Linked DNA regions of Neurospora crassa OR74A. The protein of the gene in region 2 purifies or fractionates together with the protein of the main gene of each other region. This does not show direct contact. Links are inferred from orthologs where the notes say so. Each region holds a gene or a part of one and is shown on either strand. Other genes may lie near its edges.

Region 1 (3,701 bases), on a different chromosome or scaffold from region 2:
GATATTGCGGATGAATAAGGGGAAGAAGGCCCGGAGATCGAGTCGAAGCCAGCTTGACTTTCACGGCGGTTGAAGGCGGCGTCGGTGCCAATTGACCCACTCGTGGTGGATGCGAGCGAGACCGTGGGCCCGTGACCGGGATTGCCAACTTCGGGATCGAGACTGCGCAGGCGGAGGGAGGTGCGGGTGTGTGGTGGTCGAGGTCAACGTCCCAGAAATGACGTCTGTGCTTATGATGAATTCGATTTGTTTCTTTTCCTTTTCTCTTCTTCTCAAGGATAGACAACGACAATTGCCGTCGATCTTGGCAAAGGTCACAAGAAGCAGCGATACCTGAAGGTCTTGGGGTTCGGGATAAAGACCGACGCCAGGGATACGAAGGGGAAATCGAAGGGAGTAGTGTAGAATGTCGCGGGGCCGAAGAAGAAAAAGAAGGGGAAGATGTTGCAGGGACGGAAGGAGTTCTGATTCTTGGCGACACAAAACCGAACCTACCCCTTTCTGACGGAAAACGTTGATGGATTTCGAAACCTCGTGCACGGAATGCTGTAATCCGTGGCGTACCACAGTGCAGATTGTGCTTGCCCGATCATGATGACCACAGCGCGCCAGGGTCGTCAGATCTTTGCAGGTTCTCATTGGGCGAACCTGGGATGATTTCTTGGTTCTTCAGCTGGAAAACCAACGACGAACGTTATCCAGCCTTACCGCGACTTTATCACGGCGAACCTGAAAATTGCTGCTGTTAAGTTCGTCAACTTTGACTCGGGCGGGATTCGATGCTTCACCATCAATTACTTCAGCGTATCTTGAACACCTTGGTGAGATTTTACCGACGGTACAGGTGTCAACAATGGCCCTGCTGGGAGTATACAAATCACGTTGAGACCCCAGCAAGTCAAAACGCTCTTGTCGCCAATCCCACCATGGCATATCAAGACCTTTTGATGTCGCCAGCACGTGTGATTTCTTGTTGATGTTCCGTGCCGTGCCGTGCAAGCCCCTGTCATGATAAGCTAGTATGTAGATAAGATAACATCTACAACCTGGGGGGAAAAAACAGCTGAAAGGAGCAGATGGCCAAGAGTACTTGGATAGACTCGTTGCGAAGTACAGCAGGACAGTAATGACAGAACCAAACTTCCACCTCGCTGAGATTTGAAATAACTGAATCCGGTCGTTTTCTTATATTTGCTCCTTTTTTATGCTGTTGTCGTCCTCAATGAAAATACCAGGTTCCAAAAGTTACAACTTCCATGCAAGTGGAAGTTCCAGTTATCAGATAAGGAGCTGCCCCTGCATCTGCCAGCTGGCCGCTGATCCTGTCGCGCTTCTGCAGCCGGAACTCAACCTGCAAGAAGCGCCGCGCCCCCACTCTTACCAGCTGCGGCAGGCTTGTGTTCCAAAAATTTCCATCCGTGCAGCGCGATTCGGCTGGCCATCTTGCCATACAATCCCTTCAACAAGCCATTTATCAAATCCAACCACCAGACCCAAGTCGCTCGCCCTGATATCGTGACCTGTCGCACAACCTCAATCGAGACCTCTGATTATTCATAAACATCAACAGCCCACAAGAGCCCCGAGAAACACATTTACAGCCAAAATGCCGTCCACACACAAGAAGGAGAAGCCGTGGGATACAGACGACATCGACAAGTGGAAGGTCGACCCTTTCACCAAGGACGAATCCTCCGGCCCCTTCCTCGAGGAGTCTTCGTTTATGACCCTATTCCCCAAGTACCGCGAGCGTTATCTACGAGACTCGTGGCCACTCATCACCAAGGCCCTCGACAAGCACGGCATCACCGCAGTTCTCGATTTGGTGGAGGGTTCCATGACAGTGAAGACGACAAGAAAGGTACGGCGGATGCGTTTGTTGTCTTTATAGTCACCACTCTTTGCTAACTCACGTCCAGACATATGACCCCGCAGCTATTCTTAACGCCCGCGATCTCATCAAGTTGCTCGCCCGTTCAGTACCAGCCCCACAAGCGATCAAAATTCTCGAAGATGGCATGGCCTGCGACATCATCAAGATCCGCAGCATGGTACGGAACAAGGAGCGTTTTGTTAAGAGGCGCCAAAGAATTCTCGGACAGAACGGCACAACGCTCAAGGCTCTCGAGCTTCTCACACAAACATATATCCTCGTGCACGGAAACACAGTGTCGGTAATGGGTCCTTTCAAGGGTCTGAAGGAGGTGAGGAGGGTTGTTGAGGACACCATGAACAACGTTCACCCAATTTACATGATTAAGGAGTTGATGTAAGTTTTGCGCCTGCACGCCCACTTGCGACGCCCCACAACAACAATAACTGACATGAGAAAACAGGATCAAACGCGAACTCGCAAAGGACCCCGCTCTTGCCCACGAAGACTGGTCTCGTTACCTCCCCAACTTCAAGAAGCGCACGCTTTCCAAGCGCCGCGTCCCCCACGTCGTCAACGACAAGACCAAGAAGAACTATACACCCTTCCCCCCTGCGCCCGAGAAGAGCAAGGTGGATCTCCAGATCGAGTCCGGCGAATACTTTCTCGGCAAGGAGGCCAAGCAGCGGGTGGCGGAGCAGGAGCGCGCAGAGAAGGCCAAGCAGAAGAAGGAGGAGAAGAAGCGCGAGCGCGAGAAGGAGTATGTGCCGCCCGAGGAGTTGACGGACAAGAAGGCCAAGAAGAGGAAGACGAGCGACTAAGCTGGTACAAGTGGTGCAATCCAAAATATGGGGGCGGTGGAGGTGGAAATGGAGTTGAGGAAGACGATGATGAAGAGAAAGAGAAAGGATCCTGGAATCCCATGATACCCATACTTCAGCAGACGATTGAGATTTCTCCTGCTTCGGGATCCAAGGGTGATCTGGTTGCTAAATTTCACCAAAAGCCTTTGTCAAATGTGTTATCAAAAACAATGACTTGTCCAGAAAAGATGTCGGTTCTTGAATCTGTCGACATTTCGAAACCCAAGGCCGAAACAAAACCCGATGACGATCGCGAATAAAGCCCGATGTGGCAGACCCGCACCACAACCGGGCTGCTCCACCCCGGCGGATCGCAAACCAGGGGCATCACAAGGCGGGCCGAGGCAGTTGCATCATTGGAGCGGGATCCGGCAACGAATGCGGGGGAGAGTGGGGGCGGCCATTGGTCGGTGGCAGGGTTGGTGGGAGAGGCTCAATGACAGAGTGACAACACCCCTTTCCCCGGGTCCAATTGATAACAAATCTGGCCGATGTCGCAACTGATTTAAACTTGATGACCCTTTCCTTCTTTCACTTCTTGAACATACTTCAACACTCATCCAGTGGATTGGCCTCGGTAAAACACAACCCACACATAAACACAACGCCAAGATGCCTCTCCAACTCACTGTCAAGAAAATTGACGGTAAACCCGGCCAGGTTTACTACCCGTAAGTGTTTTGTTCTTCCTCTTCACATAACCTCACCTTTCTTCTCCCCCATACATATCCCCATCACCACCACCAACCAACTCACTCCCACCATCCTCCCCGCATGACTAACCCTCGGCCTCCCCATCTAGCCTCCAACTAAACACCATCCCCAAACCAACCCCCGGCCCCGGCGAGCTTCTCATCCGCCTCCGGTCCTGCGCCCTCAACCACCGCGACCTCTTCATCCGCCAACACCTCTACCCCGGCATCTCCTTCGAGCAACCTTTTCTCGCTGACGGCTACGGCGTCGTC
Region 2 (6,538 bases):
ATGATTCTCTTTGCCTCTTCCCCTCAGAAGAAAAGGCGCGTGCTATTGAGAATGTAGCAAAGGAAAGAGAGAAGAATGAAAAGAGTCGTAGAGTGCCCGACTTCCCCGATGAACACAACACCATCGTCTACGGCGCCTATAGCGTCTAGAAACCACCACAAAGAGATGTGGATTGTCTTTGAAAGTTTACAAAGTTCAGACTGGGCAAAATACATACTGATCAAGCATCCGCCCGGGACCTGAGTACCTGGGAAATACTTTCTCGCCGATTTCGCTGGTTAGGGGTTTTCGGGGTCCAGTGATATTGTTATACGATAACGTGCGGCGGTTGTTAGTTGTTTAGGTCGCTTATATATTGTTCGTAAGTCGTAACTAACTATGTAGTTAGTCGTTGGGCCAGCGCTGGAGGTACAGTATGGGTGGCACGAGGGGGGGAAGTGATTGAAGAACGGCATTGTTTGAATTATAGCCGCGGGACGGACACGCCGACCGAAGGGCAACTCCATACTGCTGTGTTTCCTTGTCTTCAGTCATTTTCTTGTTATTTGTTGTTTGCTTTTTCTTTTCTTTTTCTTCAGATGAGGCTCCGCCATCAATAGCGATAACCGGAATTACATAGTTTCGTTGAAGTGTTGAAAGTTCCAGGTAGGGATGAGTACCATGATGAAATTGGTGGGTTGGGTAAACATCACATGTAAACAACATCAGGAGTAGATAATGTACGTACTGAGGGTTGGCAAATGATGAAATGATCTTAAAACTCCTACTAGTAGATGATATGATAGACATGGTATCTCCAACCCATGATCCAAATATTGCACTTGCACTGAACGCTGATGATGATGTATACATGACAGCAACAACAACGGCACTAACAACAACACGGCCAACCACAAACTTACTCCGACTGCTACCCCCGAACCTTCTAAGAAGTAGCCATTTACCTCTTGTTCTTCTTGAGCCTCGCCGCCTTCTCCCTTGCGTACTCGTTCGCCGCCTGGCCTTCCGATCCCTGGATCTCCGCCACCAAGCGCTTGTACTTCTTCTCGTACGCCTCGTCCTTGGCCTTCTTGACCTTGAGGTTCTCGCGCTGCATGAAGGCCGCGTCCTTGCGGAGCTCCCTGAGTGCGCCCTTGCGCTCCTTCTTGTGTTCGGCCCGCAGCTTGGCCAGCTCGGCGCGCTCGCGGTCTGGGTCGTAGTGCTTGTTGGGGTCAAACGAATCCTCAAACTTGGGCACGTACGTCTTAATGGCGAGCGGCTTGTGGTGGTGCAGCTCGAGTGGCCTGCGGGAAACCTGGGCGAGCTGGAGGAGGCGGGAGATGCTTGTCGTTGCGTCCTTAAGCTGCTTGACGAGGGCTGCAGGGAGCTGGGCGGCGTTGGACTTGGTTGTCAGGTGTTGGAGCACGCGCTGGGCGGGCTGGAAGGTCTCGTAGAATGCGGGGAGTTTGCACCATGTTTCGGAAGCAGTCCTGAGAACGGAGGTGATGGTGCTGATAATGGCAACCTTCAGAGCGGAGTCGTCGCTGGTGGAGCGAGCGCTCTTGGGCTGCTGGCAGTCACCGCAGTTGAGCTTCCTGACGGTCACCTTGCTTGCACCCTTGACACGGATGCCAGCAGCGGGCTCGTGAACGGGGAACAGACCAAGCTTTTCCTTGGGCTTCTCAGCAGCGAGCGAGCAGAGAGTGTTGAGGCAGAAGTTGACAAATTCTGGTACGTAACGCTTGGAGAAGGATTGGTACTGAAGGGCGAGGATCGAAAGGTAAGCACCAATGGAGTAGTCGGCGAGTGTCTGGGGAATTTTCTGTCCCAAATAACGGGTGATGGAAAGCATCGCAGGGGTGACCACCTGATGGAAGTGATCAGAAGTAGGGTAGGTTGTGCCAATCGCTGTCAGAAGCATAAGGTCGCCGACGCTAAGGGCAAGGGGCCGATCCTCCTTAATCTCCTCAAGCCGTGACCTGTAAGCCTTGGATATCTCGATCGGGAAGGTCTTCGCGAGTGAGTGGACGTGGCGGATCAAGTTCTCAATGGTAGGGAACCAGGTGGGCTCGAAGTTGTCGCCAAGGTAAGCGATATGCTCGATGAGGGCCCGGGAGAAGTTTCCAAGGCGCTCCTTGTTCTTCGCGTCCAGCTTGGGGTGGTAAAGAGCTCTGATCCTCTGGACAGCCACTGGAAGTTTGGCCACGGGAAGGCTGCCCAAGATCTCCAGCAGCTGCTCGTGACTCTCGGGACATGTAAAGGTATAGGGTATGCCGTCCTCGTCGCCGCCTTTTGACTGAGCTTGAAGTTTTGTGGCCACCTCCTTCGACTCGCCGTCCTCACCACCATTCACAAGCTCGTCCTCATCAGGATCATAGGCATCCTCGTCATCACTCCCGTCCATGTCCGACATGTCGTCCTCGTCCATATCCAACTCAGAGCCGCTTGCGATAAGGTCGTCTTCGAGCAAGAAATCGTCTTCGTCGTCCAGACCCATCTCGGTGGCGGTCATTCGTAGCTTGATACCCTTGCCGAGGCCGAATTCGTCCTCGTCGGCCTCGTCTTGTACCTCTTGGTCGTCTCCCTTCTTCCTGCCCTTCTTCTGCTCCTCCTCCTCCTCCTCCTCGTCATCCGAGACGATCTCACCCCGCATGCGCCTGAGTCGCTTTTCCTCCATCTCTTTGAGACGCTTAACTCCTTCCTCCGCCTTCTCCTCGTCGGTCTTTGTCCTGTCGGTAACCTCGGCCCTGGCTTCACGCGCTGCCTGCTTGAGACGCATGTTGTATTCCTTCTCAAGTTGGTCCATGTCGATTCCTGCCATAACGGAGGGGCCCTTGGGGTCCTTCGTTTCCTTCGGTCTCATCTGGAAGAGTAGGGACTGCAATTCTGGGAGTTCCTTGTCAAGTTCCACTCTTAGATCGTCGTCCTCCTCCTTGGCTGCTTGTCGTTCCTGTAGCAATTACTGTTAGCTGATGAGTGGAAGTAGCCGGCTTAGCGGTGCCCCTTACGTATTTGAAGGCCTTTGACTTGGCGATAACCTCCTCCATAACTTCCTTCTTCGTCTTCTTCCTCTCCGGTTGTCCATCCTCTCCTTCACCTTCCGCGGCCTCTTCCTCAGCGCGCAGGCGCTTGAGGAACTTCTTTCTGGCTGACCGCTCATCGTCGGATTCCATATCGGAAACGTCCTCGTCAAAATCGTCACGACCCGCCTCAATGTCGTCGTCGTCAAAGAGAGTCTTGCCAGCGTGTGTAAGGGTGACCTGTTCTTGCTCGTCATCGGAACCCTCCAAATCGAAGACGGTGTTCTTCTTGTGGCTCTTCATCTGCTCGCGCGCGAAACGTTCCATCATCTTGTCCTCCAGGGTCATGTTGGGGTCGTCCTCGCCAAAACGCCTATCGACAATGCCGCCGACCTTGTTGCGCCTCTGCATTTCAACCAGTAGAGTTTCCCGTCGCTGTTTATGGCACAGTTAGCATCAGAACCAGTAAATCGATCTGAGTGGGATCGACAAACCCTCTGCTCAGCGGTGGCCTTCGCAACGCCGGGGCGGCCCTGAATGCCCTTGGCGAGTTTATCATTTTGGGGCTTGTTGGTGGTGACCTCGAACTTGGGTCCTCTGGCGTTGGTCTTGAACTGGAAGGGGTTGAACTGCTCTCTGATGCTGGCGAGAGCTTCGTGGCGCTGGAGTCGCTTGTCGGTGGAAGCCTTCGCGTCCTGGGCGTTTTGGCGCTTTTGCTTCTTGGATCTCTGGGGACCGATGATGCCTTGGTCCTTGAGGGAGGCCTTCAGCCTCTTGAGCTGAGACCCGGCCATGTTTGTTGAGATGTCTCGACTGTCGACTTGACAGGGGAGTATTGAGAAAGAAAGAGGGAGGGAGGGCGTCGCGAAGCGGGTTCGATCGCAAGACCAGCAATCAATAGGTTGTCTTTGGCGGTTGGTTCCTTCTCAGAAATTTTGGTGATGAAGGGTGCTTATCTTATCGTCATGCTCCACCTCTAAAATCTTGGCAGTTACCTACCTACATACAAGTAGTATTGTCCACAGGCGCGGGCAGCAGAAGCATCCTGGCCTGCCCGTGCTGCACTGTAGCTGCTAAAAGACGAAGCTCTACGGGCGATGCTATCCAGGTCCCAAAAACTTACCCTTTTAAGGAAGTGCACAGACTTCTTTTGTTCTCAAGACATGTCACTCGACCAAATGTGCTCTGCAACCCAGGATGCAGCATTTCACCCAAAAAGCCCCCTTTTGGGCCAGCTGAGTTGCGAAAAGGAGTTTCCCAGCAGTATTTGACTTGCAAAGATAAAAGAATTCCCAATTTTCTTGGTGGAGGATCCAAAAAGTTGAATGTATTGTTAAGTACAAAGGTCTTGGGATACATGCTTGACTAAATGCTTAGGGTGGGAAATTTGGGACCTGGATAGACTGTCCCGCTCTACAGCGGGTGTCACTCCACTGACCAGAAGTGAAGCTCTCCATCGTCATCCTCGGGCTGCTCATGGTTTTTTTATTTTTTTATTTTTGGTTTTTTTCAGTGTTCCGTCTCAATCTCAAAGTCGCGATGTGATGAAAAGAAAAAGAAAACAACACATAAAAGTCAAACTACCTATGCTGAAGCATCATCTTTCATCACCATACCGTTATTATGGGCTGGCAATCGTCGGTTCTCCGAGATGAGAGGGTCGTCTTCACCGGCATTGGCTTCGTCACGGCGAGCTTGATCATCTTCGCCATGAACACCTGGCTAACAAGATGGCGAGACGAGACCATTGTCACCCCCAATCCGCCAAAGACGCAGTACATCACGCAGCAGACCGAGGACTCGCTCGAGCTCAAGACGCTGGACACCTTGCTGGGCCACTACAACTACGCCATCAAGGAGACGGCTGCCAAGATAATCTGTGATAGGGCTGCAAATGACCCCGGCCTCCTGGAGACGTTGCTCTGGGGCATCACCCGTCCAGATTATGACGAGCGTGTCAAGAACTTGAGGGCTCTGGCTGTCATCTGCGTCCCTCGTGAGTATCTCAACACTGCTTGAAAGTTTCCAACTCACTAACACGGCTTCAAGGAGTTCTCCCCATGCTTCACACTTGGAAAGCATACTCCGCCATAGTCCGGTGCCTCGAGCTCTCCCTCGACCCGGAGCAGGAGGTTCTCGAGAATGATGGATGGGACGATTATCCATTGAGGGATATCACCGAAAAAATGTGCTTCATCTTTCTTGAGCAGCTGGTCGATCATTACGGGCCAGAGATGCTGATCCGCTCCAAGTTCGTTGAGCGTTGGCTATCCAGGCAAAATTGGGGCAGGACTGAGGAAGACAGACAGCGCAACTTCCACAACTATATGCTGTACAGGGACAACAAGATCAAGAGGCTTGCGGATGCGGTGCGCAAAACTGGATCGGGAAGGTCGGTGCTGGTCAGATGTGGTCTCATGTCCCAAGAGGGGGCTGACGACTTCGCGGCTGAGCAGGCCGATAACCTGAACCTCATGGACACAAGCGGCGAGCGCTATAACCTCCTGCTCTCTATTAACATGGGTAGGACCCCGCGGGCGCAGGAGACGAGCGCCGAGGAGCAGCGGATTAGACATCGGAATCGCGAGGCTATTGTGGTGAACGATGGGACTAGGCCGATTGGCAGGGACGATATTATTCACCGTGACACGGAATGGCGGGTTTTGGGAGAGCCTGGTCAGTCTTAGAGGAGCGGCTCAGTAACTACTACAGGAATTGTTACCATCGCTTTGTGCTTTGTTCTGTGTTAGGAATACGGGGACGCATAAGGAAGATCAAAATGAGAATAAGAAAGATTGAGTTTGGTTGAGTAGCAATTGTATTAATCATCCAGAATGACCTTTGTTTTGGCGGATATGAAGGTGTTTGCTCTCTTACAAAACGAATAATACACGGTTAGATGCATCGTTGGGTTCAATCGTTAACAGTTCGCGAGCAACTCCACCAAAATCACTAACAAGAAAGGAACAATACGTCAAGACAACAAACCACTGCAATATGCTCACATGAATTTTGCGATTCAATTGAACCAAACCGCAACCTGAACTGTGGGCTTTGCGCCTTTTCCAACGATCACACGTCTAGCATAATACACCATCACCCGCCAAACGACGCACAGAGTCACTGTAACCGAACGGCGGCGCGGCCTTCTGTCATTTCCACAGTCCCTTCTCCCGGCCCCGCTCGTGTCCGGATTTCAAGAGCCTCACCACTCTTTCCATCCACCCACTCACCAGCATGGCTCCCTCACAGACAGTCGACATCCCCTCCTTCGCCTCCACCCAACTCACCCTCCTCTCCTCCGAGCTCGCCGCCGAAATCGCTGAGAACTCCGAGCTCATCGGGCTGCACACGCCCACCGCCCTGCAGCGCGCCGGCCTGGCCCTGACCAACCTAGTCGTCAATGCCCAGCGGACCGGCTATGGCGGAAAGACCGTGTTGGAACTCGGGCCCGATTCTGCTACTGTTACTATCACTTCTTCTTCTTCTTCTTCATCGTCAGGCCAGAAGGGTGGGGGCTATGATGGACCGGAATTACC
Region 3 (4,281 bases), on a different chromosome or scaffold from region 2:
TCCTGGCACCTCCTGACACTTTCGCGACACCTTGCTGATGCCGAATGCGAACACCAGGCAGAGAAGACCCTCGCGAGCGCGTCCAAAGGCTGGGGTCTGTTCGGAAACAAGGAAGACAAGTACCAAAATGCGGCGGATCAGTACATACAAGCGGCCAACGCTTTCAGGTTGCAGAAGTCAAGTACGTCATCACAATCATCAACACCCACGATGCGCTTTCGGGCCATATGAACCTCGCGGCAAGTCCTAACGTTCTGCCCACTACCCAGACACCGAGGCCGGCAAGTGTTTCGAGGAAGCTGCCAAGATCTTCACTGAGAAGTTGAAGGAGCCCAACGATGCGGCGAATGCCATGTTGGACGCCTTCAAGGTCTATAGGAAAGATGCCCCGGATAATGCTGTGCGCTGCGTCGAGGTTGCCATCAAGCAGTATACCATGGCGGGGAACTTCCGGAGAGCTGCGTCGCACAAGGAGAACCAGGCTGAGGTCTACGAAAACGAGCTGCAGAATAAGCCAGAGGCTATCAAGGCCTATACAACTGCGGCCGAGTGGTATGAGAACGACGGTGCTGTCGCGTAAGTGATTAATGCCCACGGCTTTTGCGCCATGTTACGAGTCCAACAGGTCGTTCTAACCAGCTGTGTGTAGTCTTGCGAACAAGCTGTGGCTCAAGGTGGCCGACCTCTCTGCCCTCGCGGGCGACTTTTTCGCCGCTATAGAGAAGTTCGAGAAGGTTGCGGAGGCTTCACTCGGCAACAACCTGATGAGGTACTCGGTCAAGGAGTACTTCCTCAAGGCCGGTCTCTGCTCCTTGGCGACCAAGGATATGGTCACTGCTCAGCGTAACATCACCAAGTATGCCGAGAAGGACCCATCATTTACGGGCCAGCGCGAATACCAACTCCTGGTTGACTTGTTGGAAGCAGCCTCAAACAACAACCTCGAGATGTTCCAGGATAAGCTTGCCGCGTACGATAAGATGAGCCGGCTCGATGACTGGAAGGCGGCTGTTCTTCTCCAGATCAAGAACAACTTTGAGGAGGCAGACAACGAGTTTTCATAAACAGGGTGGAGGAACTTGTGATATACAGCCATTTATCACTTTCTGGTTTCCTTCTTTCCTTTTTCTTTTCTTTGTTATCGTACCGGCGTTTTCTGGTTGGGAGGGGGATGAACTGTCATATCATGAATACGGTCATCGACGCTTTGGTGATTTACGGAAGACCCAAACAAACCTGCTGTCTGGGGTAGAGATGGGCTTAAAGCAATAGAAACTTGTTCCTAGTGGGTACGCGTTGTTCGTACGATCCAACATGAATTGTTGTATCTCATAACCTTGATGGCTGCCCAAGCGAAACATAGGTACCTCTATAAGCATGAGATGCCATAGCTAACCCTGGAGTTACAGTTGGGAGCCGCTTCGGACTAGCGCCAGACCCTTATCAATGACAGCGGGTGGGGCGTGCGCGCCGATAAGCGACAACTTTTCGAACTTTTCTGTTCTTCATGACATCGATTTCAGCACTGCGAAGCGGCTTGCATTGTCCCACTCCAGCGCCATTCCATCACATTCACGATGGCTTCTTCTCCGTCTTTGCAGGAGAAACTGGACAAGATTCGGTCTCCGAATCTCCAGAGCCAGAAGCAGGTAAGCCAGAGTCATGATGCATCTCTCCTTTTTCCATCTTTTGTCTTCTGCATCCCTACCCTCTTCCTTCCAGCCTGCCATTGCAGTGGCCTGTCGCAAGGCCGCCTCCATCGTGGACAATGGACCCTGACTTGAGCCACAGACTGCCAGTGTCCTCGAGGCTATCGAGGCCACCTTCAAGGAGCGCAATACACCCGCGACTCCTACCGCCTACTTCGCTGCCCTTCTCAGTCTACTCAACAACGAAAACCTCGCGACCCCCGTCGTCTACCTCCTCGATGTCGTCACTCCCTTCGCTCCAAAGCCTATTCTTCAGGCCAAGTTCACTCAGATCATCACCATCCTCGCGCCAGTACTATCCCTCCCCGATGCCGATGCTCCCCTCATGAGGGCCTCGATCGGCTCTCTCGAGAGCTTGCTCCTTGCTCAAGATGCGACACAGTGGGAGCTCGGTACCGCCCAGATTGGCCCCCGCCGGGCTGTGGCCGGCCTCCTCGCCCTTGCCCTCGACCCGCGTCCCAAAGTCCGCAAGAGAGCCCAGGAAGCGCTCAGGAACATCCTGAAGAACCCTCCGCCGAGCCCGTCTCTCGACCACCCCGCCGCCCCCATGTGCGCCGAGACAGCCATGCAGAGCCTCCGTCTTGTCGCTGACAAGGCCGCCGCCCAGAGGAAGGAAAAGAAGACTACCGACTCTACCCACGATCCCGAGCTTATCCACGCCTTGCAACTCGTCAAGGCTGTCGCCTCTGGAAGCGGTGGCTGGCCCAGCAAGAGCATTGAGTCTTTGTGCGAGCTCCTTCTCAGCATTGCCCGGACGGGCAACGAGCACATGAGCATGGCTGTCTTCGAGATCTTCGAGATGATGTTCGAGGGCATGGCCGCCGACGAGGTTGCCTCCGCCAAGCTTCCTCGGCTGCTCGAGATCATCAGAGAGCTCCGTCCCGCGCCCAACGATACCCAGCTTCTCCCTCCCTGGATCGCCATTCTGTCGAGAGCCTACGATGTTGCCGGTCAGATTTCGCCCGCCGAGACCTTCCAAGAGCTGGTCGATCCTTTCACTCTGGTTGCAGGATACCTCGAGTCCCAGCACAAGAATATTCGCGTTTCGGCGTCCGAGTGCTTGGTCTCCTTCCTGGCCAACTGTGTCCCCAAGGAGGCCATCCTTGAGCCTTCGATTTTTGACGAGAAGGTCATTCAGCAACTAGTCAAGGTTGTCGAGGGCCTTCTCACCGTCCAGTACCAAGCTGCCTGGATGGAGACTTTCAACGTTCTTGGTGCCATGTTCGATGCCTTTCGGTGGCAGGCTAACCCTTACCTCCTTTCCGTCGTCAAGAGCATCGGCGAAATCCGCGGTAACGATTCTTTCGCTGGAAAGCAGGAAGCCGACGAGGTCCTTGGCAAGGCGATTCGTGCAATGGGTCCTGAGGCGGTCTTGAATGTTCTTCCCCTGAACCTCGCGAAGCCCGTCAAGGGTCAGCCTGGCAGAGCTTGGATGCTTCCTCTTCTCCGTGACTACACCTCCAACACCAATCTTGCACACTTCAAGAGCGAATTGGTTCCTCTCAGTGCTATCATGTTCCAGCGTGTGATTGAGCACCAGGGCGAGAAGAACATTCACATCAAGATTTTCGAGACTGTTGTTCAGCAAATTTGGTCGATTCTTCCCGGCTACTGCGACCTTCCACTTGATCTTGTCGAGGCCTTTGACACAGGCTTCGCTGAGATGTTGACCAACCTTTTGTATGAGCAGGTTGACCTGCGCTTGGATATTTGTCGCGCCCTCAGGACCGTTGTTGAGTCCAACCAGGCCATCGCCACTTCCGATGAGGTCGATGACCTCATTCTCTTTGGCAGGGTCAGCAAGGAGCAGGCGCAGAAGAACTTGGAGTACCTCGGAGCCACCTTTGCAGCTGATTTCCTCGCTGTTCTCTTCAACGTCTACAGCACCACTCTCCCCCAGAAGCGCGGCCCTGTCCTCCAGACCATCAACGCCTACCTCAGCATCATCCCTCCCGCGCGTCTTACCGAGACTTTCGACATGGTGTGCGAGAAGCTCGCCGAGGCTCTTCAAGAGGCTGTTGAGAAGAAGCCCCAACAACAGCAGAAGGCCGATCACATGCCTTCTGCCGCGCACACTCTCATGGACCTGGTCGTTACCATGTCTATCTACCTCCCCCGTGCCAGCTTCGAGGCTCTTTTTAAGATCGCTTCAGTGGTCATCTTCAAGGATGATGACCCTCAGCTGCAGAAGAAGGCTTACAAGCTCATTCCTCGCTTGGCGGATTCCCCCATCGGCAAGGCCGCCCTCGAGGAGAGACATGGCGAGCTCCAAACCCTGTTCCTGTCCAGCTCTGAGAAGGTGTCGGCACCTGCCCGGAGAGAGCGCCTGGCTGCCATTGCTGCTCTGATTCACTTCATCCCCAACGATTCCCTGCACTTCATTCCCTCCATTCTTTCAGAGGTTGTCATTGGCTGCAAGGAGCACAACGAGAAGGCTCGCACTACCGCCTTCGACCTTCTGGTTCTCCTTGGCCAGAAGATGGTTTCTGCTCAGGGCTCTTTGATCGATAACAGCAAGGTCCCTCACATGCCCGCGGATGCTCCTGCGGCTACCGCCTCTATTGAGGAGTTC
Region 4 (3,933 bases), on a different chromosome or scaffold from region 2:
ATTGGGGAGTCATTGCAGCCTGGAATGAAGAAACCAAGGGTGGGAACCCATCTCGAGGTGTTCACAAGGCCGGTTCGTTGCATGAAGACGAAGATCTCTAGGTGTAAGTTGACCCAGGAGAACACGTACTTGACCCATGGGTATTCTGGCATGTCGAATCCAGCAAAACTATCGCTCAGGACATACGATGGCAGCCCGGCCCAGAGGTACTCTCCCCATGACTGCTGGCGCCTGTGAAAGTGAAATAGACGAGAAAAGGGAACATGGGCGTAGTCCTTGTACAGCAAGATACGCTGCCTCAAGCCGTTGACTCCCCAGACTCCGACGGTGGCCAAGACCTCGCCGGTGAGGAACAGCTTCCTCCCAATTCCATCTTCGTAGTACTGGTGCTTGGTGGCGGCTTCGTATAGAGCTTGGGCCTCGTTGATGCCACTGTCCGGTTCGGCAACGCCGATGACCAGCATAACCTCGTTGTGAGAGCGGATGATGTCTCTGTTGATGCGCCGTGTCTCTGGATTCACTGGTCGTCCTCGGTCATCATACAACTGCTCTGGGGCCCCGGGTTGGGGCTCGCCAGTGCCCTCAACTACCTCATCGTAGGGAGACCGGCCCTGTCCTTAGTGTCAGAACGAAGTTGTAGCCCGAAAGTCTTGCAACGATGACTTACAAGGGCCTGTGATGTCAGTGGGCCCAACCGCATCGTGAAAGGGTCAACTGGATTCAGGAGGTGTTTGTAGATTACTATCCGGCATTGCCAAGATGTTTATGTGTACATTACACGGTGAAATTTGACCAGTCAGTGGCCATCCTCGTGTAACAAACTAGGTCCTGTGCCAGAGATTGTGTTATGGTGAAGATAGTGGTGGTATAGCTGATGAGTGATGGAGACTGGAACAGACAGTTGACGTTGGTGGGGGCGATTGGGGAGCACAGAAAGCCGAGGGAGGGTCATGCTCCAGTTGCTCCAGTGCTCCAGCGTGGTTCGTCACGGATTCCTACAGGGGTTGGATCTGCATGGCGCTAAGATAACCTTATTGCCTGGCCTTATCAGCGGGCGGCAGGCAGCGACCCGCGAAAAGTTTTTGGGATTGGGGACTTTGCAGTGTACCACCCTACACTTGACGTTCTAACAGCAGAACCCCAAAGGCGGCGGCGCGCAATCGCAACCCTCCTTGCCTCTCTGTTTGATTTAATCCACTTGTACAGCCAGACACTCCGTCACCACAATGGCGTACAGGCAAACCACCACCAAGACGACCTTCGAGGTCAACAATGTCATCCAGCCCATTTTCACAGGAGGTTCCGTAGCCCTCGACAATGGCGCTAGGATCCTCGCGACCACCCTCGGCGAGCAGGCCGTCCTCACAGAGCTCAACACCGGCAAGCAGCTCGCCGAGATCGAGGGCGACGGAGAGCCCATCTCGACCCTCACCATCACCCCTTCGGCCTCCCACCTGATTGTCTGCTCTCGTTCTCTTACTATGCGCATATACTCCCTCAAGGTCTCACCAGATTACGATTCCATCGAAGCCACCCTTGTACGCACCACGAAGCCCCACGCCACCCCCGTCGTGGTTCTCGCGGTCGACCGAACTAGCACCCTTCTTGCCACCGGTGCTGCCGACGGCGCCATCAAGATCTGGGACATTGTCGGAGGATACGTTACCCATACCGTTAGCGGCCCGAGTGTCCTTATTTCTGCCCTCCACTTCTTCGAGATTGCCGCTCTCGAGGACCAAGCCAGCAACAAGAACAAGAAGAACAGGCGAAAGAGCACAGCCGAGGAGGAGCAAGCTCAGGATGACAGCGTCGCTTCAAAGTTCCGTCTTGCCTACGGCACACAGGACGGCAAGATCCGCATCTTTGACCTCAGCAAACGCAAGACCTACCCCGTTTACGCCGACCCGACTTCGAGGAGAGAAGCGCACGAGTCCAACGTACAAAGCCTTGACTACTCACCAGAACTACATGCCCTTCTCAGCGGTAGCAGAGATAAGACAATGACAGTATGGCTGTGGAAGGAGGGGACATGGAGGGGAACACCCATGTTGCGCCATGAAGGCGTTGAAGCTGTCGGCTTCCTCAACAACGGAAGCTTGATGTATTCGGCTGGAACAAGTGGCCTACTTAGGCTATGGGACACAACCACACACCAAGAAATCACAGCAAAGCAAGACGCCAAGTCGGAAGCCGAGTCGATAGTGTCAGCCCTTGCTCTTCCCCACAAGAACCTTGTTGTTTGCGCCCAGTCTGACTTCACCCTCGCCCTCTACCGCACACCTTCGGTCGCCGATGCCACCAAGAAGTCGACGAAGCCTCTGGAACCCTTCAGGCGCATCTCGGGAACACACGACGAAATTCTCGACCTTGTTTACCTTTTGCCCGATCAGTCTCTCATGGCTCTTGCAACCAACTCCGAAGATATCAGACTTGTATCCGTGGCGGATAAGCAGCCCCAGCTGGGCGACGAGGAGGAGGGCGCGGCATACTTTGGCCATGACGTAGCTCTACTCAAGGGACACGAGGATATTGTCATGTCTCTCGATGTAGACTGGTCTGGCCACTGGGTTGCTAGTGGTGCCAAGGATAACACAGCTCGCCTCTGGAGGGTTGACCCAGCCAATAACTCGTTCGAGTGCTATGCAGTCTTCACTGGCCACATCGAGTCTGTCGGCGCTGTCGCACTCCCCAAGATCGTACCTCCCGAGAACTCGGAGGCGTTCAAGAACCCCCTCGACCACCCGCCCGCATTCCTCATTTCCGGTTCCCAGGATCGGTTCGTTCAGAAGCGTGACATTCCCCGAACATCACAAAAGGGAGCCGTCTCAACCAGTCTCCGTCGCTTAGCCCACGAGAAGGATATCAACGCTCTCGACATCAGCCCCAACGGAAAGCTTTTTGCCTCGGCATCACAAGACAAGACGGTCAAGATCTGGGATTCCGCAACATTAGAAGTCGTAGGTATCCTCAAGGGTCACCGCAGGGGTGTCTGGACGGTTCGGTTCGCGCCTCAGGGCATGCCTGCCATTCAAGGCGAGACCGGCACTGCTGTTTCCGGTAAGGGTGTAATCTTGACGGGTTCTGGTGACAAGACCATCAAGCTCTGGAACCTCTCGGACTACACCTGTCTGCGCACATTCGAGGGCCACTCCCATAACGTCCTCAAGGTTGTTTGGCTGCGCCTTCCCAAGGCCGCTGACGACGCTGAAGACGAGGCTGCTGCTGCCGCCTCCAAGGCCAAGCAGCGCATCCAGTTCGCCTCTGCGGGCGCCGACTCCCTCGTCAAGGTCTGGGACGCCAACCTTGGTGAGACCGAGTGCACGCTCGATAACCACGAAGACCGTCTCTGGACGCTCACGGTGCACCCCAAGACCAATATGCTTGTGTCTGGTGGTTCCGACTCCCGCGTAACCTTCTGGAAGGACACTTCGGCTGAGACCCATGCCGCCGCGTCCTCGGCCGCCCTCAAGCTCGTCGAGCAGGAGCAGCAGCTCGAGAACTACATCCACGCCGGCGCCTACCGTGACGCTATCATTCTGGCGCTGCAGCTCAACCACCCCGGTCGTCTCCTGGGTATCTTCACTAACGTGGTCACTACCAACGCCCCCGAAGAGGGCTCTCTCTGCGGTATCAAGGCCGTCGATCAGGTGCTTGGTAACCTCTCCGACGAGCAGATTTTCCTGCTCCTGCTGAGGCTGCGCGACTGGAACACCAATGCGCGCACGGCGCCCGTGGCGCAGCGCATCCTCTGGGCGCTCGTCCGACTCTACCCTGCCAACAAGTTCTCCAACCTGTCGGTCAAGGGCGCAAGGGGACAGAAGAGTCTGAAGGAGGTGCTCAACGCGTTGAGGGTGTATACTGAGAGGCACTATAAGCGCATAGAAGAGCTGGTGGATGAAAGTTACCTTGTTGAGTATACTTTGCAGGAAATGG

Evidence for each region. The genes of interacting proteins can lie anywhere in the genome.
Region 1: the proteins of NCU07393 (region 2) and NCU07041 purify together in Saccharomyces cerevisiae (affinity purification with mass spectrometry; 6 studies listed by BioGRID). This does not show direct contact. The link is inferred for Neurospora crassa OR74A from reciprocal best matches to the Saccharomyces cerevisiae genes NOP14 and KRR1.
Region 3: the proteins of NCU07393 (region 2) and NCU01675 purify together in Saccharomyces cerevisiae (affinity purification with mass spectrometry; 3 studies listed by BioGRID). This does not show direct contact. The link is inferred for Neurospora crassa OR74A from reciprocal best matches to the Saccharomyces cerevisiae genes NOP14 and RRP12.
Region 4: the proteins of NCU07393 (region 2) and pod-5 purify together in Saccharomyces cerevisiae (affinity purification with mass spectrometry; 3 studies listed by BioGRID). This does not show direct contact. The link is inferred for Neurospora crassa OR74A from reciprocal best matches to the Saccharomyces cerevisiae genes NOP14 and UTP13.

The regions. Positions count from the first base shown.
Region 1 is NC_026504.1:4,998,493-5,002,193, forward strand, and holds NCU07041 (90S preribosome/SSU processome component KRR1), read left to right. Parts: upstream 1-1,427; 5' UTR 1,428-1,606; coding exon 1,607-1,861; intron 1,862-1,919; coding exon 1,920-2,269; intron 2,270-2,336; coding exon 2,337-2,694; 3' UTR 2,695-3,201; downstream 3,202-3,701. Other genes in the region: NCU07042 (alcohol dehydrogenase), read left to right, coding at 3,349-3,407, 3,539-3,701. UniProt on the Saccharomyces cerevisiae protein: Required for 40S ribosome biogenesis. Involved in nucleolar processing of pre-18S ribosomal RNA and ribosome assembly. Essential for vegetative growth.
Region 2 is NC_026501.1:6,085,054-6,091,591, reverse strand, and holds the start of NCU07393 (rRNA maturation protein), read right to left. Parts: upstream 3,897-6,538; 5' UTR 3,794-3,896; coding exon 3,494-3,793; intron 3,435-3,493; coding exon 2,988-3,434; intron 2,930-2,987; coding exon 941-2,929; 3' UTR 1-940. Other genes in the region: NCU07394 (hypothetical protein), read left to right, coding at 4,623-4,995, 5,049-5,686; NCU07395 (DNA-binding protein SMUBP-2), read left to right, coding at 6,237-6,538. UniProt on the Saccharomyces cerevisiae protein: Involved in nucleolar processing of pre-18S ribosomal RNA. Has a role in the nuclear export of 40S pre-ribosomal subunit to the cytoplasm.
Region 3 is NC_026502.1:2,739,631-2,743,911, reverse strand, and holds the start of NCU01675 (90S preribosome component RRP12), read left to right. Parts: upstream 1-1,481; 5' UTR 1,482-1,577; coding exon 1,578-1,649; intron 1,650-1,791; coding exon 1,792-4,281. Other genes in the region: NCU01674 (alpha-soluble NSF attachment protein), read left to right, coding at 58-181, 270-576, 650-1,064. UniProt on the Saccharomyces cerevisiae protein: In association with GSP1, required for nuclear export of both pre-40S and pre-60S ribosomal subunits. Required for the late maturation of the 18S and 5.8S rRNA of the pre-40S ribosomes and for maturation of the 25S and 5.8S rRNA of the pre-60S ribosomes.
Region 4 is NC_026505.1:1,894,939-1,898,871, forward strand, and holds the start of pod-5 (polarity defective-5), read left to right. Parts: upstream 1-1,133; 5' UTR 1,134-1,226; coding exon 1,227-3,933. Other genes in the region: NCU03627 (hypothetical protein), read right to left, coding at 1-611, 668-700. UniProt on the Saccharomyces cerevisiae protein: Involved in nucleolar processing of pre-18S ribosomal RNA.